Linked DNA regions of Tamandua tetradactyla. The protein of the gene in region 3 purifies or fractionates together with the protein of the main gene of each other region. This does not show direct contact. Links are inferred from orthologs where the notes say so. Each region holds a gene or a part of one and is shown on either strand. Other genes may lie near its edges. The genes, in order: HAT1, ASF1B, NASP and ASF1A.

The links.
Region 1: the proteins of NASP (region 3) and HAT1 purify together in Homo sapiens (affinity purification with mass spectrometry; 3 studies listed by BioGRID and IntAct, with this or other methods). This does not show direct contact. The link is inferred for Tamandua tetradactyla from reciprocal best matches to the Homo sapiens genes NASP and HAT1.
Region 2: the proteins of NASP (region 3) and ASF1B purify together in Homo sapiens (affinity purification with mass spectrometry; 5 studies listed by BioGRID and IntAct, counting the BioPlex papers as one, with this or other methods). This does not show direct contact. The link is inferred for Tamandua tetradactyla from reciprocal best matches to the Homo sapiens genes NASP and ASF1B.
Region 4: the proteins of NASP (region 3) and ASF1A purify together in Homo sapiens (affinity purification with mass spectrometry; 6 studies listed by BioGRID and IntAct, counting the BioPlex papers as one, with this or other methods). This does not show direct contact. The link is inferred for Tamandua tetradactyla from reciprocal best matches to the Homo sapiens genes NASP and ASF1A.

The regions. Positions count from the first base shown.
Region 1 is NC_135329.1:143,634,358-143,642,169, reverse strand, and holds the start of HAT1 (histone acetyltransferase type B catalytic subunit), read right to left. Parts: upstream 3,012-7,812; 5' UTR 2,896-3,011; coding exon 2,853-2,895; intron 1-2,852. Other genes in the region: SLC25A12 (electrogenic aspartate/glutamate antiporter SLC25A12, mitochondrial), read left to right, coding at 3,163-3,174, 4,094-4,147. UniProt on the Homo sapiens protein: Histone acetyltransferase that plays a role in different biological processes including cell cycle progression, glucose metabolism, histone production or DNA damage repair. Coordinates histone production and acetylation via H4 promoter binding.
Region 2 is NC_135337.1:88,724,564-88,732,496, forward strand, and holds the start of ASF1B (histone chaperone ASF1B), read left to right. Parts: upstream 1-4,916; 5' UTR 4,917-5,043; coding exon 5,044-5,152; intron 5,153-5,172; exon of another isoform or gene 5,173-5,910; intron 5,911-7,870; exon of another isoform or gene 7,871-7,933. UniProt on the Homo sapiens protein: Histone chaperone that facilitates histone deposition and histone exchange and removal during nucleosome assembly and disassembly. Cooperates with chromatin assembly factor 1 (CAF-1) to promote replication-dependent chromatin assembly.
Region 3 is NC_135328.1:177,644,334-177,651,351, forward strand, and holds the start of NASP (nuclear autoantigenic sperm protein), read right to left. Parts: upstream 3,022-7,018; 5' UTR 2,935-3,021; coding exon of another isoform or gene 2,910-2,934; 5' UTR 2,882-2,909; intron 2,876-2,881; exon of another isoform or gene 2,626-2,875; intron 2,544-2,625; exon of another isoform or gene 2,451-2,543; 5' UTR 2,412-2,450; coding exon 2,353-2,411; intron 1-2,352. UniProt on the Homo sapiens protein: Component of the histone chaperone network. Binds and stabilizes histone H3-H4 not bound to chromatin to maintain a soluble reservoir and modulate degradation by chaperone-mediated autophagy.
Region 4 is NC_135331.1:179,705,744-179,712,759, reverse strand, and holds the start of ASF1A (histone chaperone ASF1A), read right to left. Parts: upstream 3,001-7,016; 5' UTR 2,573-3,000; coding exon 2,464-2,572; intron 1-2,463. UniProt on the Homo sapiens protein: Histone chaperone that facilitates histone deposition and histone exchange and removal during nucleosome assembly and disassembly.

The DNA.
Region 1 (7,812 bases), on a different chromosome or scaffold from region 3:
ATTCATGGGAAGCTTAAAAGGGAGAGTTCAGTGTAGCACAGCCCAAGCAGCTCAGTATACCTCATCTCAGCACTTGCAGCTCAGCCCAGGTGTTTGGAGATGCAGAAAGGAATCACCCAGGGGAAAGCTGGTGGAACCCAGAAGCCTGGACAGAAGGTCAGCAGAGATCATCTTGTGCCTTCTCGTGTAAGAGAGAACCTAAAGTGAAAGTTAGCTGCCTTTCCTCTGAAGAACTATATGTTTTAACTAAATAAATCTTTTATTAAAACCAATCCATATCTGTTGTGTTGCATTCTGGCAGCTTTGGCAGACTAGAACACCAATCTACATTTGCAAGTTCCAAACATTCAAATATATTTTGTGCATATGTGTCGAAGTCAGATCATGCTATTTATTTTATCAGCTTTATGTTGATAAGGGACATAAAATCTAGTTCATCAAAGTGATGATGTGTGTTACTTTTAATTTAGGAAGAGCTTCTCAACTACATTAGTCAGTGATATTCTAATGCTCTACCAAATGTTTGTGTCCCACCCTCATTTACTTCTTGCAAGATGGCATCCATAGTTGCCGTGTGGGATAAAGGAACAGGAACAAAAATATATTTATGTCAGTAAAATAATCAGAGGCAGCTAGAAGATACACAGGAGTTGTGGCAGAACAGTCATTGGAAATTGCCTCTTGTTTTAATAACTGTATTTTAGTTTAATAGAGCATTAGACATTAGTATAATTCTAACTTACACCCACAAGGCACCTGGATGGTTTCAAACTAAATATAATGTGAGCTGCCTGGGAAGTGGAGAACTGTTTCTATGCATTTGTCTAGCAACCCCACGTTTCAGTTTTGCATCTGAGGGTAATACATTATTTTCACGGACATCAACTTCACAGGAAGATTTAAATTCCCAGCTCCGCGAAGGTACATATTGAATCTTTTATGAAACCAACTATAAAAAAATGACTATTAATGACATCTGCTTTATAGGGTCAGCAATGAAAATACAATTGCAGCTAGTCTCAGCCTTTAACTTCCAATCTTGCATTCTGAAATGCCATTCTTTCTAGGCTGTCTTAATCATCACGTTTTCAACTTAAAGTTGTCCACAGCTTTACAATTAATTCTTTTTTTACAAATATCATTTGCAACTTAAAGAGAGTTCTGAATTACCATATTGACACGTAATTTTTAAAAACTCATGAAATTTTGAATCATTTCCACTACATTTTCTCAAACATATTATGAATCTTACTTGACAGATTTTTTAGTTTTGCAGTAAATCATAAGTTTTTCCCCAACTACAATAATCTACAATTAAGACAAAGGTAAATTTAAAGTTGGTTTAACTCCTGCTAATACTAATAGCCAGTCATTACAACAGAATGAAAGATTCCAAAGTTTTTCAGGGCAGCAGCTGTGTCTTTTATGCTTTTGTATGTCTTTCAACACTTAGTGCATTTCCTATAGCATATACGTTTAATATCTTTGTTTATTGCTGTTCATTTTATTTGGATAGATGAAAAAATCTAGCAAAATTCACATTTATTTAATACTCTTCTTCTTTTCCACATGGCAGCCTTATTTAGTTTTAGATTGTCATGTCATCTCCATTGCAACTAGATAGGTACCAATGAAGCCCTTTAACTTGCTCCAAGATCAATTGTTTTTCAGTCAAGAAAATTTTCATTGCAGTTTGGTGCCTAAATCTATTAATTATTGTTGTGTACTCTGTTTAAATGTAAGCTTTCTTCCTTGGTAGGAGTGGCCAGTCCAACCCTAAATTTTCACTCTGACAATACAGATTTGGTTAACAGCAACATTTTCAGGAGAAATGCTCGAAATTCCTACTTAGAGAGACTTCATAAAATAAGATACAGCAGAGTATCAGGGGCATAAAGTCTTAGTTGGACAAAATATGAATTAAAAAAATCCCATCTTAACATCCAATTACATTGTTCAAAGCACTTTGAACAGATTGAAGAAAGATGTAACCGTGGTAGACAATTGAAACAACTGCATCAGAAAAGCTCATCTTGGGAGTACTTCTAGTAATACAGCATTCCCTTATCCACAATTTCCATTTGCCACTCCTCTTTCTGCATTTTTATTTCCTTTGCCTAGTGGAAATTCACTCGAAATTGGGGATGTGGAGAAGCGTGGACCATCTGTAAGCTCCTGAGAGGAGGGACTCTGTTACATCTTTGTAATTCCATACAAGCAAGACTGTCTGGCACTTAATAGATCCCAGTGTTTGTTGAGTGACTATAGTTCAATACAGTCATAATGGCAAGATTCAGTTTTAGAAACATTATTTTGGTTCAGGGTAGAGGTATTACATTTAGGTAGTGATGGAGAATTACTTTCTATTCACATTGGGACAATTTGAGCTAGGATTTAGTTCCAACTTTGTTGAAAGAAAACAGTTTTTTGTATGCATTTATACCTCATCCAAAGATTTGTGTGACTGGGAATGTGGTATGTGAATACTACTTTATTAGTAGTAGACTACTACTACTAAATAAAGCATTATAATAGTACAAGAAGCAAAGACATGGTGTATTTATCTCATGCCAATTTAGGGGCATATTTCTCCAGTAATGTTTACTTAGGTTGTCCCCAGTGTGAGGGGCTGCCAATCTTTCTGTTGTCAATATTTGCAATCAGTTGTCATCAATTCATTTATTATTATTATTATTAATGGAACGTGCTCTTTGATCCTTAGAAACCTGAGTCAACATAGGCCCCAAGTGGCCCTTTAAGCTTGGGGAGGGGGGGAGGCGGGAAACGACTTAGGCTGAACTTGGCGCCCAAAACCACACCCACTAAAGAGGCCTTAAAAAACCTGGGCTTACTTGGCGGCCGCTCAGCTGTCTGCAATGCGCAGCGACACGGCATCCCGGGGCTCGCCGGGCAGTTTTCCCCGTGGGCAGCGGGGCCCTCCTCCGCCCGGCCCGCACTCTCGCCGGCCACCGGGCCAGCTCCCTTCGCGGCCGGGCGCGGATCCCACTTCCCACGACGCCCGCCCCGAGCTCATTTGCATGGGGACGCGCGCGGCGCCGGCGAGCGGAGGGAGGGCGGGCGCCGCCAAGGAGGCGGCGCGCGCGCGCCCTGACAGCTCGGCCCTGCTCGCTCACTCGCTCGTCCTCGGCTTCCGAGCACAGCATGGCGGTCAAGGTGACTCCAACTCTGCTGCTGTCTTTATTGCATATGAGACATTCCGGGGGTCCGCCCTCCAGCTCTCCACCTCTTTCCATTTGCTTCTTTGCCTAGTTCTTAGATAGCGCGTCCTGGGGCTCCAGTTCGCGGGTGGTGGAGCTGTGCGGGGTTTGGACCGGAGCGAGAGGATGCCCGGCTGGGGGAGGGGAGGGAGGAGGGATTGGGAGTTTGACCGGCTAGTGAGGACCACGGGTTGGAAAAGGAAGAGTAGTGTTCTGCCCTAAGTGCATGGGTCTGTGAGCCCGGCGTAGAACGGCGTCGGAGGCGGGGTGGGAGGAAGTGGCTGGTAAAGCACGGGATGCCTAAGGCATCGATGTATTGTGGTGGGGGAGGGGGCGAGCAATTGAATAATTTGGGTCCTCATTGAGGCTCCAGGTTGCAGGATGTGGAAAGCATTTGGAAACGTTGTAGCATCTCTCATAGTTTAGGTTGGGTGGGGAAAGAGGGGGGCGCGGAGATAATTATGTGCTGGTATTGCTTTCCACCTGGAAGAATACCGGATAGGCCGTGGGATTAACTTGGGTGTTTTAACTTTCCTGTTGCTCCATTCTTGATAGCCTCTTGCTTTGAAGGTGGGTGATTGCTACTGTGTTGCTAGTAGATGGGCAGTAAAGATGGATCCTGACTGCCTTCCCTTTCCAGTTCAGAAGAAGCCTTGCCCATCGATTTGCTATATGTTATGCTTGTCACATCTGTCATTCTGCCCTGCAGTCATGCATTTCCAATTTGACAGCTGTTTTCAGCAGTTAGTGCTTTGGTTTGTTTGAAACCAAATGCCATTATAAAAAATAAAAGAACACTGTTGGAGATGTGAATTCTAGTCTGAAGAGATAGGTCTTTAGTGAAGCATTAACGGGCTTTTAATTTTGTCTTACAGGTGCAGACAACCAAGCGAGGTGATCCTCATGAGTTAAGAAACATATTCTTACAGGTAAGTTGGTTTCTGTAACCTGCTTTTTGTTCACACAGCAACTGTGTAAGTTTTTATCTCTTGTCAGGCTTTAACTTTGAGGAATGGTCTATTTTTGTGCATTCTTACAAACATGGCTAGACAGCATAGCTTATAATAAGGTTTTGATGAAAGGTTTTCCTTTTTATCAAGTTTTGATAAAATATTTTCCTCAAATTTTTGTTTTTCTTTATATGTATAAGACATGTGGAAAGAAAAGGACTAAAAAGTAGAATTTCCAGTTTTCCTTAAGCAGCGCCTAAAATGAAATTTCAAAATGTATTGGCATTCTTGTGTGGTGACTACGGTTCTTCCTTCATTAAAAGTTGCCTGCTTGTGAAGTTTTCCTAAGTATAAGCAATCCACCATGTAAAGTGTTATAGAGGTAAGAGTATTATAGCTATAGCTATTTTTAATTTGTGTGTGCCTTGTTTTCCCCTCTACTTATTTACATTAAAATTCATAGGCCTTTGGGACTTTGTTAAAAAATACTACTCTCTAAAATGCTTGCAAGGATCCACCTCTACTTGCTCAGCTTTTAGTATCAGTGACTTGGCTATAGATATTGGAAAAAAAAGAAGATTGAGGCTTAGTTTTTTACTTTGCTCTCTTTTCTTAAAATTCAGACGTTTCCTACTTAGGAAGTTGTACTTAAAAAGTAGGTTTAGATGGGGAATTTTATGTTGTATAAATTTGCAACAATTAAAATGAGAGAGAGAGAGAGAGAGACAGTTAAATGTAATATGTAATCCTGGACTGGAGCTGATAATGGAGGAGAAAATGCTTAAAAGGACATTATTGGAATGATTGAAAAATTGGAATATGGCCTGTATGCTTTATATATCAATGTTAAATTTCTTGAATTCGATAGCTGTGCTTAAGCTGGTTACATAAGCAAGTGTCCTTGTTCTCAGAAATTGTACATGGAAGTGTTAAGTATTAGAGGAACATGATGTGTGCAACTTACTCTCGCACGTTTAGAAGTTAGAGATAGACTGATATAACGTGGTAAAATGCTAATAGATAGTAAATCTATTTACCCTGGGGTGTATGTTGGGGTTTTATATACTGTTTCTGCATTATCTTTATAGTTTTCCTGTGTTTGAAATTATTTCAAAATAAAAGTTTTTTTTTAAAGAAATAGATTTAAAAGGAGGTAAACTAAAGTGTTTCATTACATATTGTGTTTTTCTCTGATTTTTCTTTTGAGAGCTTTCTTTTCTGTATCTGGGTTCTTACGTAGGCACCTTTTGACCTTGAGCAGGTTTCTGCTTGGCCTTAGTTTCTTCTGTAAAATGAGAGGCGATCTCCAAGGTTCCTTCCAGCTCTAAAAGTCTATGATTCTATATTAGGAACAGATTCTAACATATGCTGATGAGCCTGGAATAGATGACATTTTTATCTGAGACATGTGGTTATACTTAAGTTATTGTTGGGGAGGTTGCATAGATGACCATATATATGTGTAGTTCATGACAAAGAATTAGTGAAAATGGCGATCTTAAATTTTGTAAAATCTGATAAGGAAAGCACCTTTTCCAAAAAGTAGTTATAATAGAAAGGCTCCATTTATGGCTTGAAACTTTTATTCCCCATAAGAATCTTGAGAACAGCTAAAAATATGTCAGTACTAACCACATCATATGACTATATGTAATTGTTTTGTGAGAAGTTCATGTGATATCGTTAATTTTATTTTCTAGATTGAATATGCATAGAAGAAGTAACTTGAGATGTGGCACGATACAGTAAAAGGCACACCAGCCTAGCTGTCAGGAGCACTAGGTTCAGTTCCCAGCTCTGCCACGATCTGGTTGTTGCACCCTTACTATCTAGCCTTTCTGGGCTTCTCCTATCAGGCTCAATGGGACATAAAGGATATATGGAAATTGGAATTCATAATCAAGTATTTAGCACTAATTAAGTGTTGACCTAGGTATTATTGACAGATAAGAGAGGGATAGGACACAGATACCTACCTTTAGGAAGGTATAAAGCAGCACCATATACAAGATAGTTTGAATCAACTGAAACAGCCACCATATAACAAATTAAAATTTTATTCCTTGTTTGACTTCTTCAAACTCTAGCTGCTTGAAGCTATAGGGCATTGTTTAGCAAGTTTGTTACAGATGTATATGGTTTATTAATATTTTATGGGTAGCAGAGAGAGAAATACTACTACATATTTCTTTAGCACTCAACATATTTACTCAAATAACTTACTAAGGACCATTTTCTGTGTGCCATGCACTCGTATTTGGTTTGGTAAAAGATACCAAATTGAACAACCAGAAGGGAGGATTGCACCCAGACTTGAATGGAGAGGGACGGGTGATTGAACAAACTCCTTTCTGAGGTACCTTCCAACTCTAATGGACTATGGTTGAGGAGTCAAGGATAGTGAGGGCAAATATGCATGGCCTACTGTAGAGCAAGCAATTCGACTTTCCCAGATCAGAGAGGCCATATGACAATAATGACAATGGCTAACATTTACTAATCATTTACAGCATATTGGACGTTGGCCTGGTGCTTTAAGGATATTTTGTTAATTTCCAAGCAACCTTATATTGTGGGGTAGAATTATTATTGCTGTGATATGTTATATGACTTGGTTAATGTCATTTAGTTCTTAGGTGGTGGAGGCAAGATTCAAATCAAATGCCAGAACCCATACTCAACCCTCACGGAATACTGCTTGCAGAATCCCCCCCGCATCCCCCTGCATGGGCAGGCACTGAGTAAAGAACCTGGGTCTCCATGGCAGGCGAGAACTCTGCCTGCTGAGCCAGTGTGGCCTGCCCTGCTTGTAGGATTTTGAAACTGGAGGTGAATTTTGAGAGACCGAAATATGGAAGGAGCTAATGGCAACTGTATTTCGCTAAAAAGTTAGAGAAAATATCTTGTCACCTAGGGTCTTGTAAAAAACCAAAGTGCTTCTTTACTGTGCTATCTAGAACAGGTGGCCCAGGGGTTTAGATTTGAAACAGTAGGAAGGCACCATGGGTTTCTGAGTGGATAAATTGAAGTGGTGAGTTCTGGCAGCTCTTTGTGTAGGTTGGATAAAGAGTGGAGAGATTGGAAATGGGCAAGGTGATCAGCTAAGAGGCTATTGAAACTATGTACTGGGAGATAATGACCTGGAGTGGCTGAAGGCTGGGGAAATGGAAAGGAAACACAATGCCAGGTACTTAGTAAGGGAGCAATTCATTAAATTTGGTATTAAATGTGGAAGTAGAGAAAAGAATATGAACTTGGCATTTTTAGCATAGAGGTGAATTGACAATGCAAGGCTTCTATTTTGGGAGTGTTTTTTTTTTTTTTTTGGTTAAATTTGGTTGCTAAATAATTGAATCCTACTAAGTCAGATTTGGGGAGATACAAATTTGCATAGGTGGTGGATGAAACCTTGTAATTAGGGGAAGTAATTATAAAATAAATAGGGCAGAGGATCAGGGACTGATATATAAGTGTTATCCACAATTGAAGTAGGAAGGAGAAGGAGGAGAACCAGGGAGTATGGTCCCATTAGAGTTTAGAGTAGGAATTTCACAAAAAGTGTTTAGATATAAATTGTTCTGTTATTAGTATGAATTAGTTTTGGTAGGATCTTGAGGTCATTTGGATTCAAGATCATTTAGCTA
Region 2 (7,933 bases), on a different chromosome or scaffold from region 3:
AGTTTTATCACCATTTCTTTTGAGCTGTCAGTGAAAATATCAATACTGAGGAAAAGGCAAATGTCTTAGCACTATTGTGGAGAAAAAGTTCACTTCATAGACCTCCTAAAACAGTCTGGTGGAATTCCAGGGGACCACACTTTGAGAACCATCAGACTGGTAAGTAAATGGAACTGGACAATGGTTTATGCATGTGGGAAAATATTAAATCACAGGCCTACCTCACATCATGAACAATAATCCAAATTGCAAGGGGATAAAGCGAAATACAAAAAGTAAAACTTCCAAAAGAAAATATATTAGGCTATCTTTTTTATCTGAGAAGCTTTTGTTAAGCAAAACACAAAAAACATAAACCACAAATACACTGGTAATTTTGATGAATTAAAATAAATACTAATGTTTTTAAAATTCTGAACATCAAGAGACACCATGAAAACGAAAAGGCAAGCCTCCCATGTGAGAATTCCTGTACTCAACAAGACAAAAACCAAAAACAATCGTACAGAAAAATGGGCAGAGACATGAACAGGCAATTCACAGAAGGTAAGTGTTCAATAAACATGAAAACAGCTCAACCTCACTGGTAACCAAGGTTTAATGCAAACTGAAACAGCACTAATTTACACCCATCAGGACACAAATTAAAATGCCTGACAATACCAAGGGCTGCTAAGAACATGTAGCATTAGACACACTCACATGCTGCTGATGGGAATGAGAAACGGTATAGTGATTTTGAAGAACAAATTGGAAATATCTAGTAAAGGTGAATATTCCCATAACCAAGGGCCCAGAATTTCAACTGTGGGGATTAATAGCCTAGACAATCTTCTACTCCTTGTGCACAAGGAGACATGCAACAATGTATACCACAGAGTTGTTTGTAAGAGTCAACGATTGGAAACCACCAAAACATCAACCAAAAGATGAACAGGTAAGGAGAGTGACAGTCATAAGAGAGTACTGGGTAACAACACTGCCCGAAACACTTCTTGTGATGATGGAAATGTAGTCCACCTATGCTGCCCCAGAGCGGCCACCAGCCACAGACTGCTACTGTCACTTCTAATGTGGCTAACCAGACTGAAGAATTCATCTTCTCACTTTATTTCATGTTAATTAATTTAAATCTAAATTGTCACAAGCAGCTAGTGGTTACCATATTGAACGGTGCAGCTACACAGCAGTAAAAATAGATTAAAGCTACATACCTGTTTCAGCACAGATGAACCCAAAAGCATTGCGTTGGAAGAGCAAAGCAAATTGCAGAAGGCAGGGCCAGGACTGCAGGCAAGTGAGGTGTCTAGGGCGGAATTTAAGGAGGTACACCCACAGGGACACAGGAGTACCAGCTAGGCAACAGACAGGTCCTGAGAGCACGTGCCTCTCTAAATCTTACAGCCCAGGTGCCTTTCTTGTCTTGCCCTAGTCCTAGCCAGGTCTGGATGGAAAATTATGATAGTGTATCAGGGGTCCCCAAGATCACCCTTAGGTTCGGTGTTCCAAAACTAAGAGAACTCATAGGATTTAGCATTCAGTCATGCACACAGTTACGATTTCTTAAAGGGAAAGGATACAAAGCACAATTAGCCAAGGGAAAAGGCATCTGGGACAAAGTTTGGAGGAACCCAGGCACAATTTCAGAGTCTTCTCCCTGGTGGAGTCACACAGGACATGCTGAATTCCTCCAGCAATGAGTACTGATGACACGTGTGAAATGCAGAGGGAAGCTCATTACAGATGCGGAGTTTGGGGGGTTTTACCAGGGGATGGGGGGTGAGGATGTGCGCAGATCACATACTGGCACATACCAAAACTCCCAATTCCCTGAAGGACAATAGGTGTTCAACAAACCACACTGTTGATACAGTTTTAGACACAATGAGCCCCTCTTATCATTTAGGGGAATGGTGAGAACCCTCCCGAAATTCAAGTTCTCAGATGCCAGCCAAGAGCCGACCTTGCAAGAAGGCCTTTCTAAGAAGTATCTTTTTTTACATGGTTACCATTTATGTAAAATTGCCAAAAATGAAAAACAATGCCATATATTGTTCAGAGACACTTGCATATAAAATAAAGATGCAATCTGTCCTGTAACTACTTGTTGAAGAGTGCTTTGAAAACTAAAAAAAATAAAAATAAAAATATACAAAAACATGTACACAAAAATTTATACCAAATTCAGGGCTGTAATTACATTGGAGGGATAAGGGAGAATGGGTTTGAGGTTAAGGTAAGCCCTTTCATGGCATCTCTTAACGTTTTATTTCTTAATCTGGGTAACGGGTAGAGGGTGTTTTGTTACAGTATTCCTTATATTTTGCGCGTGCTCCTGAAATATTACAAAAGGGCTCATCTGCATATTACTATAGTTCATGCTTCCCACATGCTTCTCACACTCCAGGTATACGCTAAAGTCATTTATAGAGATCTCTCCTCCTGAAGACACTGGGTGCCCATACTAAGGTCTGGTAATAGAAATTGAACAAGCTACGGTCCCAGCCCTCAACCAGCTTTCAGTCAACTGAGGGATGAGACATACAAGCGCAATTTAAAAACCAGCATAAAGATTCAGATCATAAAACAGGGTGATATAATTGAGGAAAGACTCCTTTAAATAGGTTGGTCTGTGATGACATCTCTTTTAAGACTTCTGTGCTGAAAACATAAATGATGAGAACAAGAACACAGAGCAACCACCAGTGAGAGTACATTTCATGTAGAGGGAAAAGTAAAAGCAAAGCCCCAAGGCAGAAACAAGCCTGGTGTGTGGAAGGAGGGAACACAAAGCCAGCAGAGCTTGAGAGTGGTGACAGAGTGATAAACGAGTCCAGAAGTGACGCTGAGGCCACTGTGCAAGAACTCCAAGCCCTACTGAAGATCTTCAGGCTTGATCTAAGTTTAAGCCTCTGAAGGATTTAAGCAGAACAGCCTGAACTGGTTTACATTTTAAAACCAATCCGCCAGGTGTCTGGGAACACATTATAGACAGGACCACCTTCTCCACCGGCACCACAGACCTAATGCTGGCAGCTGATGACCAGGGACGCTGGTGGTGGATGGGGTAAGTGTCGTCGATATGGTCTGGGAAGAGAAAAGTGGGTTTACACCTCATCCTAGAAGGCTTAGAATACCAAAGGAGGGTTTGAACACTATCAGAGGACACGTGCAAAGATATCTCAAAGCAGAGGACACTTGAACTGAGCCCTGAATAATGAGAAAATGCCAGGGTTCCAAGCGCTGGGAGAAGAGGTTAGGGCAGAGCCTCTGAGCTGGGGACCACTTGTGGAGCTTCTAACGCACAAAAAGAGGATGGGATTGGCTGGATGGAAGTTGGGACAGTAGGAAGTACGTCAAGCACGTTCTCGCCCCTGGAATAAACATTCCCACTTCAGGCAAGGGAGGGGCCTGATGTAATTTATTTTAGTCCTGCTCTGACCCATAACACAGCAGCGCCCGAGCACTGTGAATGTGGCTCTTGTCACTGTGGCACTGAGGTCAGGTTATTGCTTGATTTTAACGAGCTAAAGCCCAAACTGAAAAACTGATGCCTGATTTGGTTGGTGGATCTGAACAACTGGGGCACGTGAAACTACTTTTTCAGCTGCCAACTGGATGAAAAGTGGAGCTCGATCAACACAATCCGGTGAAAATTTAGTGAGAATTTAGCCTCCCGATTGCAGATAGGCTGCGAGGAATTTCCAAACCTTCTTTCTTGCAGAACACGAGATATTTTATTAGTATTTTTAACCAATTACTCGTTGGGGTAATATCTGGGCCTGGTTGAATTAAATAAGGGATATCGTTAAAATTAATTTCCCCCATTTCTTTTTGTTCGCCACTTAATTAAAAAAAAAGATAAGTGGTTTCTAAAAAACTGTCGGTTTGGGAAAACGGCGGGCGTTGTTTTTCCCCTGGACAGCGCCGCTGGAAGCAGAGGGGGTGGGCGTGGAAGCCTGATTCTCCCCGGCCAGTGGCGACGGCGGTCTGGACCTGACCGGGAAGTGGAGAGAAGTTTCTGGAAGAACTGCGGGGTCGTGTCCGTGCATTATTTGCACGGGCTCAAACCCCGACCGGTCTGACTCGCACCGACGACGGGGCGCTCTGAGCACCGTCTATTAGAAGCCGCTCCCCGGGCGGCGGGCCCCGAAGGGGCGACAACGGGATTCAAGCCGGGCGCCGCTCCGCCTCCCCCGGGGGCCTGTCAGCGTTCACCATATTCACCACGGAACCCTCGGCCGCTGGGCCTGAGGAGCCTGGAGCTCCTCACAGAGGCTCCCGGCAACGCTCACCCGCAGACGAAGCCGAGGTGGCCGCGCGCCTCCTCGTCTCCCCTCACGACCGACGCAACCGACTTCCGGTCCTATCTCGCCAATCACGAGACGAGCTTTCTCCTCCCGCCTACCGCAGTCAAGCCAACCAATCATCTCTTAGAAAGCAAGCTTTCGTTTTTGTTTTTTTTCTCACCCTCTCCCGTCTGTCAGTCACCACGGAAGCGAGCACCGCCCTTTCCGCTCTCTTCAGCGAGTGTCGCGCGCCCCCGCTTGGCAGTTGGTGGCGATGCCCTCCACGGGCTGCGTGCCCCGGAAGGACGGGGCGACGAGAACGCCCACCACGCCTGTGCTGGAACCCTTGGGATTGGTCAGCGGGAGCCCCGCGCGCTGACTCCGCCCATCTCCGCCCTTAACGTCCGCATCGGAGACGCTGGGGATTGGTTCCCCACTGGGGGGGTTGGGTTAACATCCTCAGGAGCCAAAAGGTGGTCCCGCCCCGCGACGCGCACGCCGGGGAGGGAGTTCCGCTGATTGGTCTAGGGAATCGCAGCGCGCGCCGACTGGAGTTCCAGGATTGGCCGAGGGCGGGCTCGCGCCGCCGGGGAGCGTTAGCGGTGATTGGCCGGAGGGCGGGGCCGGCTATTTGAAGGCGGCGCGCGGATGAAGCGCGCACTTCAGTCGGCTTAAGGAGGTTGAGGAGGTGTCCGTGGGAGGGCTGCGCTCTTGACCCCGGCGGACACGGACGCGGCCCGGCCCCGGCCCGACGATGGCCAAGGTGTCGGTGCTGAATGTGGCGGTGTTGGAGAACCCGAGTCCTTTCCACACCCCATTCCGGTTCGAGATCAGTTTCGAGTGCAGTGAGGCCCTGGCGGACGGTGAGGCTGGGCCTGTGTAGGGCCTCCCCCCCCCCCGGCCGGGCTGACCCGCACTTCCCGTCAAGAGGCCCCCAAGGATCACTCCTTGGTAGACCACCGACGTCCCGGTGAAGAACCCATTCCCCCTACCAACCCCCTCCCGGCCAACCCCAGTCTCCCTGGAGGGAAGCCCCCAAAGCCAACCCCGACGTTCCCGTGGAAATCCCCCACCGCCAGCCCCTACCTCACCCGCCCCGTGGGGACCCCCGACGGCCAAGCCCGACCTCCCCCTGGAGACCTCCCAAGGCCAGCTCTGGCTTCTACTGCCACAGGGTCTGAGCAGGTTAAAGAACAGAGGCTGAGAGGGTCTCTACGTAGAAAATGGGTGGCTCGGAGGACTCCCACAGAAAAAAGACGGTGGTGATAAGGCCTCCACTAGAGGGGCAGTTGTAGACCTTGAAAGGTCTACAAAGACCTTTCAAGAAAAGGGCTGTAAAATTCTAAAACCGAATGGCTAAGGTCACCCAAGAAGCCTTTTAACTAGCTCTCAGGCAAGTGGTGCTTTCAGGAGGAAATTCTCCCCTTAGAGAACTTCTCCGGGTGATTAAACAAAAAGCAGCAGCAGTTGAGGGGGTGAAAAATCTGTAAACCCGGGAGGCGGGGTCTACTAAGGAGCACCACTGGGTGGCTGGTGGGCACTTTGCCTATAAAGCTTGCTGCTGGGATTTGCTTGTAGCTGATGCTGTTTGAGATGCATTTGCCCTGGGATGAGCCAGTAGGTGAGTCTCCCTGGATTTTCTTCTTTTCAAATTAAGGAGTCTATGTGTGACTAGAGAATCGGCTAAGTTAAATCCCTTTTGGAGCAAGGCAGGGTGTAAATAAATAAATAAAGTGTAGAATGACACTGAGGAAGATTTCATTTTAAAGCCAGGAGGAGCTATAAGGAGCTAGCGGTTTAAGGGATTCGCCAGTTTAAGGGATTCGCCTTCCCAGATGGCAGGATATCAGGTTTCATTCAGCCGATTGTGCTCCTGGAATTAAAAATGATTCTGAGGTCCTTATCCAATACTCTAATTCCTAGGAAGCTCCTACCTATTGTTTTTTTTCTAATCTGCATATGGAATCAGGGCAGGAAAGGCCAAAGTCAGCAAGCTGATTTTAAATTTCTTAGTAGAGGGACATGGAATGACTCCTCTGAAGTGACAGCAAAGGCAGTTTGTGGGAGTGTTGGGACCATGGTGCGTCTCTGAGTTCTGAGTGCAGGGCTCTTCCTCTTTGCTCTTATCCCAGTGGTAAGATTAGAGGTGACACATAAACATGAGCAGCCGGGGAATTTATTGCCAAATCATGATTCTCAAAACAGAGACGGGGGCACTGGTATAATTACAGCCAGATGATAGAGCTTTTGTTCAGAGAAGCTCAGATTGGAAATCCTGTTCTGGCCTGGAAACCCAGACCCTCGTTCCACCCTAGGGCCGTCGGTGACTTAGACCTGCAAACCTGCTTTCTGCCTCTTCCTAGCCTTCTTCCCACAAAGCACAGAATCCGTTTCCTGCCTCCCAAACAGAAGCCCTCTCTGAAATCCTGGAGAAATCTGTCAGTCTTGTTACCTCTCAGTACCAGCAAACTGAAAATCCGATGAGCTGTACAACTCCTAGTTGGTTAGCTGTCCCATTTCCTAAGGGCTCCAGACTCCTTCTGCTGTCTTTCTCAGCATTTGGAAGTGGACGCTTCCAAGGTGTGGGTCCCCATTTAATACATTAGATGTGTTCCCTGCACCCTCTTGAGAAATTCAGCGGACACTGGTTGAATAAGTCATAGAAACCAGATGTTCTGACCCAGAGCTGTGGCAAGGCCAAGGCTCATCTCTGTAGCTATGAACAAAGACAAAAGGTAAATAGGAAAAGGCCTGCTAGAGGTGCTAGATTAAAACAAAAACAACTGGGGAACAGACACTCCAGCTAGTTGAGCTATAATGATTTTTTATGCATCTTTAGCCATATTATTGGTTTTAGTTTTGTTTTCAGGGATAACAGAGGTCCATCTTAGGTGTGGCTTAGACCGTAACGTTAGGGTATAAAGACACCGTGATACATGCACTCAGATTACCCTTGAAGTTGCCCATAAGGTTAGGTACCCAGTGTTGGGGTGGGGGGGCGTAATTGTGCCCTGTAAACTGTAGATGTGGAGGTGTGTGTGACTTTGTCCCACATTTCATTCTATTCTATATTCAGAATTGAAATCGTTAAAGTACATCTCTGCTTGAAACCCTTTTCAACAAATTCTAGTTTGTAGGCCCTGCTTCAGTCATCATGTCGTTGGTAGATTCTATCAGATTCTCTAACTTTGGCCCTCAGTTAATTCCTCAGTTTCTCTGGACAGCGTTGAGGGAGCCTCAGTGGGCTCACCTCATGGTATGTTTTCTCTCCTACTCAACACCAATCCAGTCTTTATGCAGGTTTTGCTGACAATTATTGACTTCAGTCAGACAACATCGAGCGCCTGTTGTATACATTGGGTCCAGCTCTGTTTTGGTCTCATTGGCAAATGGACATATATAGGATCCCAGTGGTTATGGGGCAGGGCAGAAGGAAATATACCAAAGTTAAGAGTTGGGTTTGGGTAAGTGAGATCAGGGCTAGCTTGTTTTTTTGTTCTTCCCCCAAATTTGATTCTGGTGGTGTCACTGATTCCTACCAAAAATAAGTTAATAGAGTTCACTTTCTCCTTGCAAATAAGGCAATGCTGGAGATTGGCCCCTACTGAGCCAGAGTGTTACCCAGATCCTTCAGACCTGTGAGG
Region 3 (7,018 bases):
AACATGTCTACTTAAGTGATCAGAGTGGTATCACAAATGAGTGAGAGGGTGCAGTGGTAGTTTCGCAGAATTCTCGCCCACAATGAGGGAGACCCAGGCCCCCATATCTCTATCTCTCTCTCTCTCTCTCACAGGCACGCACACGCATGCACAGCAACTGAGAGCCCCGCCCCATCAAGATAGCAGAGTGAAATACTTCAGTGTTCCTTCCCCCCACAGCAGCTCTTAACCAGTAAAAACTGGCAAACATCTTCCTCAAAACTCCAGAAAAAAATTTTAAGGCGTGCAGAAACAGGGCCTGCATCAAATCAATTTTAAAAGGCTATTTAAAAGAGGTAGGATCTCCTGATACCTTGACTAGGCCTTCCCCCAACCCTCATCAGCTCAGAGACCAGTCAGTCCACACTCAGAATACAGATTCCAGGTCCCTGTTCCAGAAGGAGTAACACTAGTGCACATGTTAGGAGCTTTATACTTCTAGCCCAATCTGTCTAGCAGTGGCCCAAGGAACTCACCATCCCAGAACTTGCCCTGACACAGCAGCTCATGAACTCTCCTGCAGAATGCTGTGGAACAGCAGTCATGTCATGCTATCTGGGCAAAGAGAATGTGGCTATAGGACATACAGTGCAGTACCCAAGACACCTTGAGGAACTCTTTCCTAGGAAGAGAGGACATTTTTATCAGTTTAAATGGGGGAATTCCTAGGACCACATGTACATGTGGAAGACATGACAATGCACAGAAAGGATCAAGGACGCCCCTAAGGTTTAGACCTGGAGCTCTTCTCAAAACTCATTTTAATGGATAAACCCTGAAGAGGACTCCCACAATGGAATTTAATGCTAGGAAGCTGGAGATTAGGTCAATAACTTTGGTTAGACAGATAACCACCTGAAAATTTGCAAGAGCTATTTGTTCCATGATTTTATCTTTAAAAATATATATATATATTTTTTTCTTAAGATTGGGGGGCACAGATCCGTAACTGGAATAAGTGCTAGAATTCTTGAAGAAGTACCTGCAAAGCCTCACGTAAGAAGTTTTTTTTAATAGATATGATTCCCAAGCCCAATCTATTCCAATTGTCTTGAATCAATGGGGAAAGTCAGGAAACAGTTTGAAATTTAATTTGTATCTGTGATTTGAGAACCATCGTTCTGCAAAAACCCCATAAAGAAACCACTCAAAAGGAGATTGGTAGGTTGCACAGAGATAAACAAATGCTGGTGGCTATAAATATACTAAGTATGTGATGTAAATAACAAAGATTCAATCATAAAAATCTTATAGCAGCCTTCTTCCTGTAAGGGAAGCAATTACAGAAAGCAAGTGCAGAAAGTTAGAACCAGACCTCTAAGAAATAAAGGAAATATTGTTGTCAGACCTACTAAACAGAAAACAGCACTTAAGGTGTTTCCCTTCAATGTTCATAAAATACCTTATGCTAGAGTGCCACTTTTGCCGCATTCAAAGCAACCCCATCGTCTATCATTGCCTCTGGGTCTCATACGGTGCATACTACTTACTACCCATTCACCTAGTAACTAAACACTGGGAGAGCGCCACACAGCTTCGCATCCGGATCATGTTTCCCCGAAGCAGCCAAGTCTCCCACCAACACCTCTGAAGTCTAAAAAAAACACGATGCTCCCTACCACAAGTAGGGGTGGGGGCTCGCCGAGAGCGCCAGAGTACAAGATAAGCGTGGTGGGGAGTCAGCATCACCGCGCCCCACCGCGGCAAGTCCAACGCTCTAGTTCCAAGCCGCCGCGACCCCAGACAATGGAGTTTTCCCGCCTCCTCGGGGCCCCGCCCCCTATTCCACTAAGGGCGGAGAAGCAAACTTACGCACACAAGACCCCGCCCACCGAAGGGTCCGCCCACTCCCGACCCCAGCTTCTTTCCTCGTGCAGGGTTCTCTTTTGGCGCCAAATCTCTGTTGGTTATTTTCCCGGGTTGCCTGGAGACGCTAACCCGAGGCGCGCGCCAGGAGTGCGGAGACAGTAGGGGAATGAGGGCAGGACAGCGCACCGGAGCCCCGCCTACCCGCCGACAGCCCCCGGCCAGGGGAGGAAGGAGAGGGGCAGGCGATGGAGACAGCCGCCGATGCCCCCGGCAAGATGGCGGCTGCGAAAAGCGGGGCAGGGGGCGCCAGCCGACAGGCGTTACCGCTAATGCGCGAGGCTCTCAGTAAACATGGGCTTCTTTAGTGCTCAGGTCTCCCCGAGGAGCTATGGCGCCTCATGGGAAGTACTTCCAACCACCGGTCTGTCCCTCCCGTGGACCTCTGTCCGCCACCCCCTCCCCGCGTACTGGCCAGTGCCTCCAGCTCTCCACGGTCCCGCTTACTTGTCGGCGGGAACCAACTCCGCAGCGATGGCGGCAGTGGCTGTGGACTCTGCAGCCATCGTTTCCCTGAGGCGATGTACCAGCGGGCGGAATGGAGCCTGTGAGGAAAACACAGATTTGGGAAGCGAGACACTTAAACACGGATAGAAAATGGCAGATTGGAGACCCCGCGCGGCTGGGGCCCTCTTATATACCAGGGCCCTTCTCCCCGCCCATCCACTTCCGGGCCCTCCCCTTCGAGTTTAAAGGGCCAGGGCTCGGTCCTTGTCTAACCGTAGGAAACCCCACCTCCGCTGGATAACTCCGTGGGGTACCTTCCCTCCCAGGCTCGCTTTCCCCCAAAAAAGTGCAATTTCCTCCTTCTCTAGCAAGTCGTGTAAAAGCAGAATCGGAATCTTGGGACTACAACTCCTGACAAGGCGCCAGCCAGTGGCTTCGGCAGAAGGGGAAGCCCGTGCAGCTCTGTATGTTTAGTGCGAGTAGCTGAGGGTCTCCTTCAGCCCTGGATACTTGGGTAGGTAACTGAGACCTTCTGTCCTTCTTCTCGGTCGTAACGGATGGACACGCAAGAGCGGAGCACCGGTAAAGCTGCAACGGCTAGAACTGATCTTAGTGAGGGACGCGTGGCTTGGAGCCGCAGCAACAACTGACGCACATAATACAGTTCTAGGATTGGTTGCAGCTGAAGCTACCGCGCTTGATTCAAAGCTCAAAGTGACCGCGAGAAGCGGGTGGCTCCTCCTTCCGGACCCGCCCCTTTCGGCTGGCCCAATCCGCTGACGCCATCCTCAGGCTCTACCCAAACTCCAAATCAGATTGGCTCTAAGTCTTCACGTCCACTCTTAGAGCTATGGTTTATCGCGTTCCTACTGAGTGCGGAGGTGCTGTGCTTAGATCCTTTAAAACTATTAGCTGATTTTTTTAAATCTCGACAACAACACTGCTTGTGAGATCGGTATTAGCCTCATTTCGTAGAAAAAGAAACCCAGTTTCAGTGAAGGTGTGACTTCCTCAGCAAGTTGCAAGACAAGTCGGTCATTGAAAACAATGCAGTGAACCCCATTCCCGCATCTGGCTAAGTGGAGCGTAGCAGGCAGCATGAAATGGCTGCTCCTCCACCTGGGGCATCATCAAGTCCCTTCCACCACGGCCCTGTGTCCAGTGATCAGAACAGAGGTTCTCTTTCCGTCCAGGATCTTGCACGCTGGCTGAGAAATATACCTAGGGAGGATTATTATTTCAGTCTGTCAAGGCTCAGGCGGCTTGAAATCGTTGAGGCTATGGAGCTGGGCCTGAAAGTGCCAGTTCTCGTGGTAAACAGACGTGGGCTCCTCAATTATTTGTACAATTACCTGAGCCAATACATTTAATCCCCTAAAGTTAAACGCAAAATGATTCAACATTAATATACACCTTTAAGGGTACTGTGAAAATTAGAATTAATGCTCACTAGAACAAGTCGCATTGTGTCTGGCTTGTGCTAAGCACTCACAAATTACCACTACAGTCTGATAACATGGTAGCTGGAGGAATGGAACAGGGCTTTTTCTCAGGCCTAACACAAGCCCAGTTACTTGTGTAATCCATTATCTGTTAAACGAATATTCACTGAGCACCTATGATGTGAAAGGCTCTGTTCTGGGCCCAGGGACAAAAGACATGGTCTCTGCCTTTAAGGAACTCAATATTAAGATAAATATATTTGAAAATATATTAAAATATATTTTAAATTCATCCACTTCCCTCAGTCTTTACTTCCACTACTGTAATCCAGGCCTAGTCACCATAATCCCTTGCCTGTAGTACTGCGTAACTTCTGGTCTCCACTTTACCCTCTCCAACCATTCTCCAGAAAAATCTTTTAAAAATGTACATGGAGTGGGCCATGGTGGCTCAGTGGCAGAGTTCTCACCTGCCATGCTAGAGACCTGGGTACAATTCCCATTGCCTGCCCATGCAAAAAAAAAAAAAAGTACATCATGTCATGTCATGTCACTCCCCTTCAATAGCTTCTTATGGCTCTTAGAAGAAACACTGAGCTCCTTATCGTTGCCTACAAGAACCTACATGTTATTTTAAGTGTTAAAACTGAAAGGATTATATAACAACATAGTGAAGTAGGGAGAAGAGTTCTAGCTCAAATGTGGGAAAATACAGAAGAATGACGACGATTAGCTTTGAATTTCATATTGTATAATAAATAGTAGATGCTCTGTGGTTGTTTTTAGATATTCCTTATTTTTAAGGTACCATAAATTGTCTTTTATTGTTGCAGTTTTTGAAGTATGTAGTTCTTTACATGTTTTGATTAAAGTTTTATCAACTACAATTTTTCAGTTAGATTATTATCAATAAATCAATTATGATTAAAAATGAAATAAAATTTAAAAAGGATTCTACATGTTCTGGCCTCTCCAAATTCATTTCATATTAACCTTCATTCACTATACTTCAACCATGCTGGTCTCCTTTCTGTTTCTCAAACTATCCAAACCCTTTCTAACTCCAGTGTCTTCCTACCACACTACCTAGAAAGCTCTTTGGCCAGTACTTGAAATGAGACCTCATCTCACATGTTACCTCCAAAAAGGCCTTCCCTGACCACTCAATCAAAATTAGTTTATTTCTTTCACTGTACTGATCAATATCTATAGTTACTATTTCTGTATTTATTATAACCCCTTCTAAGTATATAGGCTTCACGTGATCTTTTGTGTCTTATTTATAGCTAAATCCTCATTCATACAACAGATATCCAAATGAACTTCCTAAATAAATAAAGCAATCATAATATAATCATAACTAGAACTAGAAAGAAGATTACTTATTCGTTTCCTGGCCCATGCATCCAATGGGGGGGGGGAATATATATAATAAGAAAAGAAACAAACAACATGATTGACAAACACACTGAAGGCTTTTTGAGTCGGACAGCACAAAATAACTGCAAAAGGGCTGGACCCAAGGTTCTGGGAAGATGGCAGAATAGAGGGTTCCTGGAAGATGGTGAAATAGGATAGGTCAAGTTCACCCCTACTCCAAGGAACAGGTAGAGAAGGGATGGGAAGGTGACTAGGACAACTGTTTCAGGGTGTAAGTGACCCAGAAAGATCTTCTACACCACATAGGGAGGCCCTGGTTACAAAAGCTGAAGATACAGAGAACTGGAGACGATCCAACTGGTGCAAACTGTCTAACACACCCCTTTCTAAATGGAAGCCTGGAACCCTCAGGAGTGCATGAACGAGGAGGACTCTACCTCTGATTCCCCCACTCCACAACCTGCTCCTGTGCTCCAAGGTTGACCTGAGCTGCACCACATACCCACAGCCCCTGCACTGTACCTCTACCAGCCCCCCAACACACACCTCATACTCAAAGGCACCAGCATTCCTAACCTGCGCCTATACCTGTGCTGCAACAAGTTACTTCACTGTCGTGCCCCACATTCTGCTCGACGTCCATCCTGCAAATTCAAAGCTTTAGACTACTGAAGGAAGTCAATTTACAAAGTAAACCAATCAAGATATTTATATGTGGTGAAGGCAACAGAAGATCATTAAGCATATCAGCAGACAGATACAGCCCAGCCTAATGACCAAATTGAAACACCAGAAGAGACACACACTTTGGAACAACTAGTCAAAGAAGTTTGTATAATTCTACTAAATAAAATAAATAGGATGGCTAATTACATAAAGAAGATCAAGAAACTAGAAGAGCATAGAGAGGAATTTGAAAAAACAAAATAGCAGATATCACAGAAATTAAAAATGCTTTAGGCCAAATAAAAAATATACTCAAGACACACAACAACAGATTGGAAGAGGCAGAAGAAAGAATAAGCAAACTAGAGGACAGGACAAATTGATTTCAAACACTCAAAACAACAAATGACAAAAAAGATGGAAAAATTTGAGTTGGATCTCAGGGAAATGATGGACAAAATAAAGCACTCAAATATAAGAATCATTGATGACACAGAAGAAGAGAAGAACAAAAGGCTAGGAAGATTAGTTGAGGATATAATGGGGGAGATTTTCCCAACCCTTATATAGGACAAGAACACACAAATCAAAGAAGCCCAACAAACTCCAAATAGAATAAATCCAAATAAGCCTTCTTCAGGACACATACTAACCAGTCAGTCAAATGTTAAAGAGAAACAGAAAATCCTGAAAGCAGCGAGAGAAAACAATCTACTACATACAAGGGAAACCACATAAGACTGAGTTCAGAATACTCAATTGGCACTATGGAGGTGAGAAGGCAATGGTATGATATATTTAAGATCCTAAATCTTAAGAGAAAAAGAGAAAGTCTTCCAGTCAAGAATTCTGTACCCAATCAAATTGCCATTTGAAACTGAGGGAGAGATTAAAATTTTCACAGACAAACAAATCCTGAAAGAATTTGTCAAAAATAGAACAGCCCAATAAGAAATACTAAAGGGATTTTCTGCCAGTTAAAAAAAAAAAAAGAGGGCGGGCCGCGGTGGCTCAGCGGGCAAGAGTGCTTGCCTGCCGTGCCGGAGGACCCCGGTTCGATTCCCGGCCCCAGCCCATGTAAAAAACAAACAAACAAACAAAATATAATAAAACAAGAAAATGTTTAAAAATGTTTCCCTTTCTTCCATCCTTCCTTCCTTCTCTGTCTTTCCTTCCTT
Region 4 (7,016 bases), on a different chromosome or scaffold from region 3:
GGGTCAATGAAGACACGTACAGGCTTGGCGACCTTGGGTTAAGCACATCCAGGGTCTCCTAATTCCCAGGCTGACAGGGCAATCTCGACTGAAATCTTGAATCTTACATTTTTTGTAACTGACCTACCCCTAGATATGAGCCTTATATTAAAAACAAACAAATTACTTTAAAAGCAAATACTCAAGACTTTTTCTAAAGTAGCTAAAATTATTTATAAAATGAAATTTTTTCTTCAGAACATTCTGTAGTTTAATTTCAAGTATAGATTTTATTTGAAAGAACTACAGTGTAAAAGTTTGTAGCCTATAAGGATCCTTTGCTTAAGTAAAAATTTCCCTAATCCACACAGCCTCTAGGTGGAGTACACAGGCATGGCACCTTTTTTGAAAGACTCCTTCAGTATGACTCAGCTTAAAGTCTTTTAAAAATACTAATAAGTGCCCAGTAATGGTGTACTCAAAGTGAGGAGAACACGTGGCAGTAGATGTATTCTTGGTATCAGTATTGTAAAAACCCTGTGTGTGATTCACCTGGGCTCTGAATGGATCCAAAAATGGAAAACAGTTCCACCTCCATGAGTGGCGGGTTTTAACCATCCAACATAACAGCCCTGAAATGACATCCTGAACTAGCTTCCTTGTTCAGAGCTAATGTCTAAAATGGAAGGCATCCCTTGAAAATTCCAGTAATTTGAAGAATTTCTAATGCCTAAAAACTGTAGTGTAAGTTGGAATGGACTGATCTTATGGTTTCTCTTTGCCCATTTTTATATATACTTGCCAGTAAAAAGGCGAAGTTATTGACTGCTGGGTATGAAAAATGGGCCTAGTAGTTGAAATGCTCCTAGTTGTATTATAGGAGAGTAATCAAGTGGTGTCTGAGTAATACGTAAAATACCCTTTATTTTATCACTGGACCTATTTAGAGATTAGTTTATTTTAATGAAGAGATAATCTTTCAAAATATACCTTACAAATATATATATATATGCTTTATATCTGTATTAAAACTCTGTGGAAAGGCATTAAAGTATACATTGTGATTACCTTAAAAAGTGAAATGGGGGAAGACACCGGGTATAGAAAACTGTTACTTTATATATGTCTTTACCATTTTTAAAAACTTATTACAATGGGCATATATTGCTTTCATAATTTAAAAAGTTAACACCCTACATGAAATACATTTTATAGAGATTAAAAGTTAATTTTTAAATGAATTAATGCTTCACGTGCCATTATTAGCACAATTGTTTTAAATGCTTTTTGTCAAGTATACATGTAAGTTCAAAGAAACGCCCCCTATTTAATTGTAAAGTTAACATTGATGAGGTTAACATTTTTTCAAACTTTGATAATAAAGCACTGGATTCATTTAATAAATTCAAGAAAGGTGAAGATTAAGACCTTGCTAAGTTTTAGCTTTCTAAATACGTATTACTATACTCATGTTAAAAAGAAGTTATCTTTTTTAAAGACCTTAAAACGTACTTAAGAGAAAACAGTAAAAATGTTTGCATCGCCATCAGGACTTTACCTTTTATTTTCTAGCCCACTTTTGTGTTTTAAGTTCAGGGTGTATTCTGTATCTGTTTGGATGTGGAGTTATTTTAATTTGATTTCAACACGTTCCTGCAGAGTCTTCTTTCAGACTATTTAGAAGCCAGTGATTAAATGTCCTGGAAATTTATTTAAATATTTTTACACATTTCTGCTCTTGGGTTAAATGTAACTTCCTAGCTTAGAAATGTTTTTCTTCCTGAGAGAGAGGAGAGAAGATTTTAGTCACCGAGGAGCAGGGTTCGCGAGGGTCGGGCGAGCCTGGCGCGGGCATCCCGGGGCCGCCGGGAGGAGCCGCCGGGAGGACGCGCCGCCGCCGGGCCCGAGGGGCCGAGCCCGCGCCCGCCTCCCCCGCTGGTTGGTCCAGGCAGCCAGAGATCAGCGCGCGGACAGCCTCGCTCTCCTCCCCGAAGCGGCGGGCATGGCCACCGCGAGCACAGGGCGATCCGGCGCAGCCTCCCGGCCCGCGTCTGCCTTCCGCTCGGGGCAGGAAGGTGGCAGGCGGGCGCCGGCTCCCGGGCCGCGGCCGGGTGCGAGGAGGCGCCGTGACGCCGGGGTCAGCAGCCCCAATTCGCTGCTCCCGGTAAGATGGCTCCGCTCCGAGCTCGCCGGCGCGGCCTCACGCCCTCGCCTCTCCTGCAGCCGCCGCCTCCCCGGGTCGCACAGGCAGCTCGCGGGGCCGGCCCGGCGCGGCTCCCTCCCGCCAGACAAAGCTGGCAACATGGCTCCCTCCGCTCGAACAAGTTCCTCGCAACTTGCGCCTCGGCTGCGCCGGCCGTCGTCCCTCCGCCGGGAGTTTGCCGCCGCCGGGCGCCGAGCACCGGGCGCCGCGAGGCCCGGCCCGGGAAACTTTCAACGTCTGCAGCCGCAACTGACAGCCCGGCGGGCGGCGCCGCTACTCACCTTCAGACAGGTCCTCGATGCACTCGAAGGTGATCTCGAACTGGAAGGGGTTGTAGAAAGGAGAAGGGTTATCCAGCACCACTACATTGTTCACCTGAACCTTTGCCATATTTTGAAAAAAACACAAACAATGGAAACCGGGGCTGGTTGCGGCACAACAAAGTCTAGCGCGCGGCCGCTCGGAGAGCGCAGACCCCCACCCGGCGCGGCCCGACGTCGTGCAGCGGCGACTTGAGAAACTTTTTTTTCCTCTTTTTATTTACACGGGAGCACTCCACAGTGTTTTGCAGCTTTCCTATTTCACTAAACTACAGCCCATTCTGCTCTGATAACTAGCAGCGTTGGCCGCGATTGGCTGCACCCGAGCTCTGACCCTCCTCCTCCAGCGAGGGCTTCAGCAGCGAGCAAGATGGGCTCCCGCTCCCGAAATGAACTCGGAAACTTTAACTGCGGCTCCACCTGCTGGTGCGGATTAGGACAAAGGCGGAGAACAAAGTGAGTGGAATACGGGCTGGGAGGCCCGCGCGGAGGCCGCCGCCGGCGGGGGGGGAGGGGAAGGGGGCCGAGGGGGAGGGGGCGGGGGCGGCGCAGGCCCCGCCCTCGGCCCGGCGGCTCCCGCGCCTCACGTCGGGCGTGGCCGCGGCGGGGACGGGAGCGGGTGTTGACTGAAGGGGGCGTGGCCACGGCCGTGGCCGTAGGGGCGTGGCCTCCGGGCGGAAGAGGGCGTGGCAACGGCAGGAGGGCGCGAACCCTGGCGACGCCCGCTCGGGTCTGCTTCGAGGCTGTTTTGCTTTGTTTTGTTTTGTTTTTTTGAAAAGGCGTACTCTTTATTTGTATCTAACGGCCCTGCCGACTCTGCTGAATTTAGCCTCTGAGATTTAGTTGTGTACACTAGCGCAGATCAGCTGTCCATGTATCGGGTAGTATTTGGAATAGAGAGAAGGGTTGGTTGCAGTGGAAATAAATTGTATTTTATCGATTCCTGCCAGCTCGAAAGGAGGAAAGCCATTTTGGAAATCTAACGCTTGGCTAGTATCGGCTTTGGGGCACATAACGGTGTCTTTAGTTAAATAGTCACAAAACAAAAGGCGAATAGGCGTTTTCCCACACACACACGTCACTTGAAAATCTGAAAGGCCAATCTTTGGGCTGCACGTGGGCTTTCTTCCTCCCGCTTGTCATCAGGAAAGTCTTAGAATGAAACAAAGGTTACTAGAGATGTGACCACCTACAGTTTTATGCCATTTATGGGGCTTAAAAGAAGGAAAAGAAAGTGTCAGGAGACTGAGGGGCAACAAACGTAATAGAGAAGGAAAGAGTGGAGAACACAAAGGCTTACCAAGACATTTGATCTTCAAAAAATTTAGGAATCGTTAGTAAATTAAAAAATGAGTGGCACCACAGACAAGTTCTGAACCCTTTGCCTACCTGTAACCACTTCGGGTTTGAACTGAGAAACCTCAGTTCGTCTGTGTTACTTGACTACCATTGTGGGGAAAGGAGGAGCTTTTACATTTGTGAGCCTGCTGGACTGTTTCTGTTTAACAAGTAAGAGAGGTATAAAGGGTTGTTTAATTACCTGCTATTCATAACCATCATTTTCCCCCATAAGTTTTGTGAATGAAACCACCAAACTTGGCTTATTAAATTCAGAGAGAAAAATATTTCTTAAGTATCGTCGATGCTGAACGAGTTTTCTCTTGATGTAGTGGCCAGAATTTTGATTTCTCATTCTTCGGATATTGTTCAGGCGTGAGTAGGTCACTTTTGATAAGACTTCTTCACCTGAAGCTCTTTGGAAAAGTAATGTGGAACAGCTTATGCCAGGCCTCTCCACATTAAGGAAAACCAGTTAGACTAGAGATCCCATTTTACTTTTAATGGATTAAACTGCCAAAAATAGAACAGGTTTCCTCAACCCATTTGTGATTACCATGACTGATAAACTCTATACTCTCTTCACTCTTATTTGTGCTTATCGTCACACTAGCTAAGATAAAGGGCGAACTGCTGTGTGCTACTGTCAGATATGCCGGGTATGGAGCACGGAATGACCATTTGAAGATTAAAATATGACTGCTTTTGGAATGGGGCATGCAGTTGTCTGATTATTGCAGGTACTTTAAGAGAAGATTCTGATTTACTTGCTTTAGAAAAATGATATAAACTTCACAAAATGAGGTGCATTTGGTAGTCTGACCATAGGTGTGTCATAATGAGACCAGTCTTACCACAAAATTCGTTCTTGGAGGATCTGTAGTATCAAGAATTGAAAAGATCTATTTGGTTAACACTAGTTTGGTTTGGCTTATTTTCTTTAAATTCTTCTTCCAACATGATTTATGCTATAGCGTGTAAGGAGAAAAAAGTCCTCCCTAATGGTTCACTGGAAGCTGCAAGAATTAGCTTCATGCCTCTTATCCTGCTTCTCTTGTCTTAACTCTTTCATTACTGCTGATCAGAAATTTTACAGTCTTTGATTTGAGCACACTTCCCAATAGTTTTCTCACCAGTGACAGTACCTTACAGGAAAGACTGAAGGGATTCCTCAAATATGCCTTGGCATATTTCTAAATTTTATGGGCATGCCATGGGGAAAAATTGTAAAAACATCACTCTGGTTTGAGAGGCAGTCAGTAGGACCTGTTGGATGTCGTCGTGATGACTCTTGAAAAGCTAACTGTATTTAAAACAGATGAGTCACGTTGAATATCTTCATTTATTAAATACAAAAGGGGGGCCACATGATGCTTGGAGGGCTGCATCCCCAAATCTTTTCTCTCTGTACAATTTATTTGGGAGCAGGAACACTGAGAGAGGTAGTTTGGGATGTAAGATGAACAAAGCTAGTGTCTAGGACATAAATAAGTGAACCTACATTAACTGTAAAGGTTCTGTTTTGTTTTTTGTTTTTGTTTTTCCCATCAGAATGTAAACTTAAATGAGAACCTGTACTTATTTATTTAATCCACATATTGATCAGTTATCAAGTGCCACTTCGGTGGGAACACTGTGGCCGTTCTTCAGAGGAAGCACCTTGGGCACGCTGCTTGCATTCTGAAGAGACAAGATGCAGCCTGTTTCCATGGATCCAAGGCACAGGGTATTTAAAAATTTGAAATTTGAAGTCAAATTGAGGTCACAGGACAAGATGAAATCAAAGTTATCAAAGTTATATTTTGGGCTGAATCAAAATATACTAGAACTAGGAATTAAATCCATCTCATTCCCTGCATGTTGTGGAAGTTATAAGAATGGAAGCCCTAATCTCTTGTCTTTGTTCAAATCCTAATTTCTACCTGAGATAATAACATATGGCTGTGTTGAATTCTCTTTGGATTTGTATTATTGTCACTGTCCTTTTAAAAAAAAATTCTGATGTAAGGGCTTGTTGTAATAGCATCTTTAGTTACTTTAAAAGCCTCCCTATTATTTATTAGTGACATGATATCAAATTTAATGATAGTTTTAAATAAAATTTTCTGTGTAAGTGAAGAATATAGAGATTTCCTTGAGAAAATCAAGTAATTTTGACACAGAGTAGAAAATGTCAGGCATACCTAGACAATTAAAGTTCAGTGAGAATTTTGTATTTATTATATTATTTTTATATATTTTGGCATAATGTTTTCTTTACTATTTGTCAAGAACTTTTACATAACTTGTGTATTTTGAGCCTCACAACATTCTACTATGGTAGGAAGAGAAGTTATCATCATCCCCACATAACGAATGAGGACACTGTTGCTCAGAAACCCACTTCTCTAACTGCTGATCCAGTGCATCCCTACTCCACTTTCCATTGGCTCAAAAAAAATTTAAAGTGACCTTGATGTGTAGAAAAATAGACTGGTATAATTTCCTGAAAGATCCCCACAGCTGGCAGATACTGGTTATTGGTTATGACTCTACTGATGAACTCTTGAGAAACAAAGCTGGAACATTGGCCTAGGTCCTAGGAGTGAAGGAGACTCCTCTGAGGTGAAGCTGTGGGATTCCAGGCCCCCCACAGGCAGCACGCTCCTGTTGTAGAAGGGATGCTAATGGGGAGAGCTATACAGCCTGGAATGCATCTGTATATTTTTATAAGGTGTTGGTGTCTTTTGCATAAAGTGTACTCCTCTGCCTCCATCCCCCCAACACGGTCTCACCTCATTAATAAAAGTATTATTGTTTTGTAACACAAAACAGTGAATACTATTTTGTGTTCATTGCTGCCCACTATTAGTTTCAAGTTTGCTGGTGCTGTACGCTGTGTCTGACCCCTGATCCGCAGCTGAGCTACACTGTTAAACATTTTCTGGATGTCTGTAATTGGTATCAGTTTTATGAAGCACTATTATGGATATTGTTGACAGTTTGTTAGTATAATATCATTAAGTTGTTTTCTAGCCTAGAAAGATTTGAATGGAAATGCCTAATAATTTTTTGTTTCTCGTATCTAGTTTTAGTTTTGTTGTGTTTTTAGTCCTTTATAAATCAAGCTCTTTTTGGACTCATTTTCTTATTAAACTGTCTCCACCTGTAGCCTGTCTCACTTCATGATACATGTT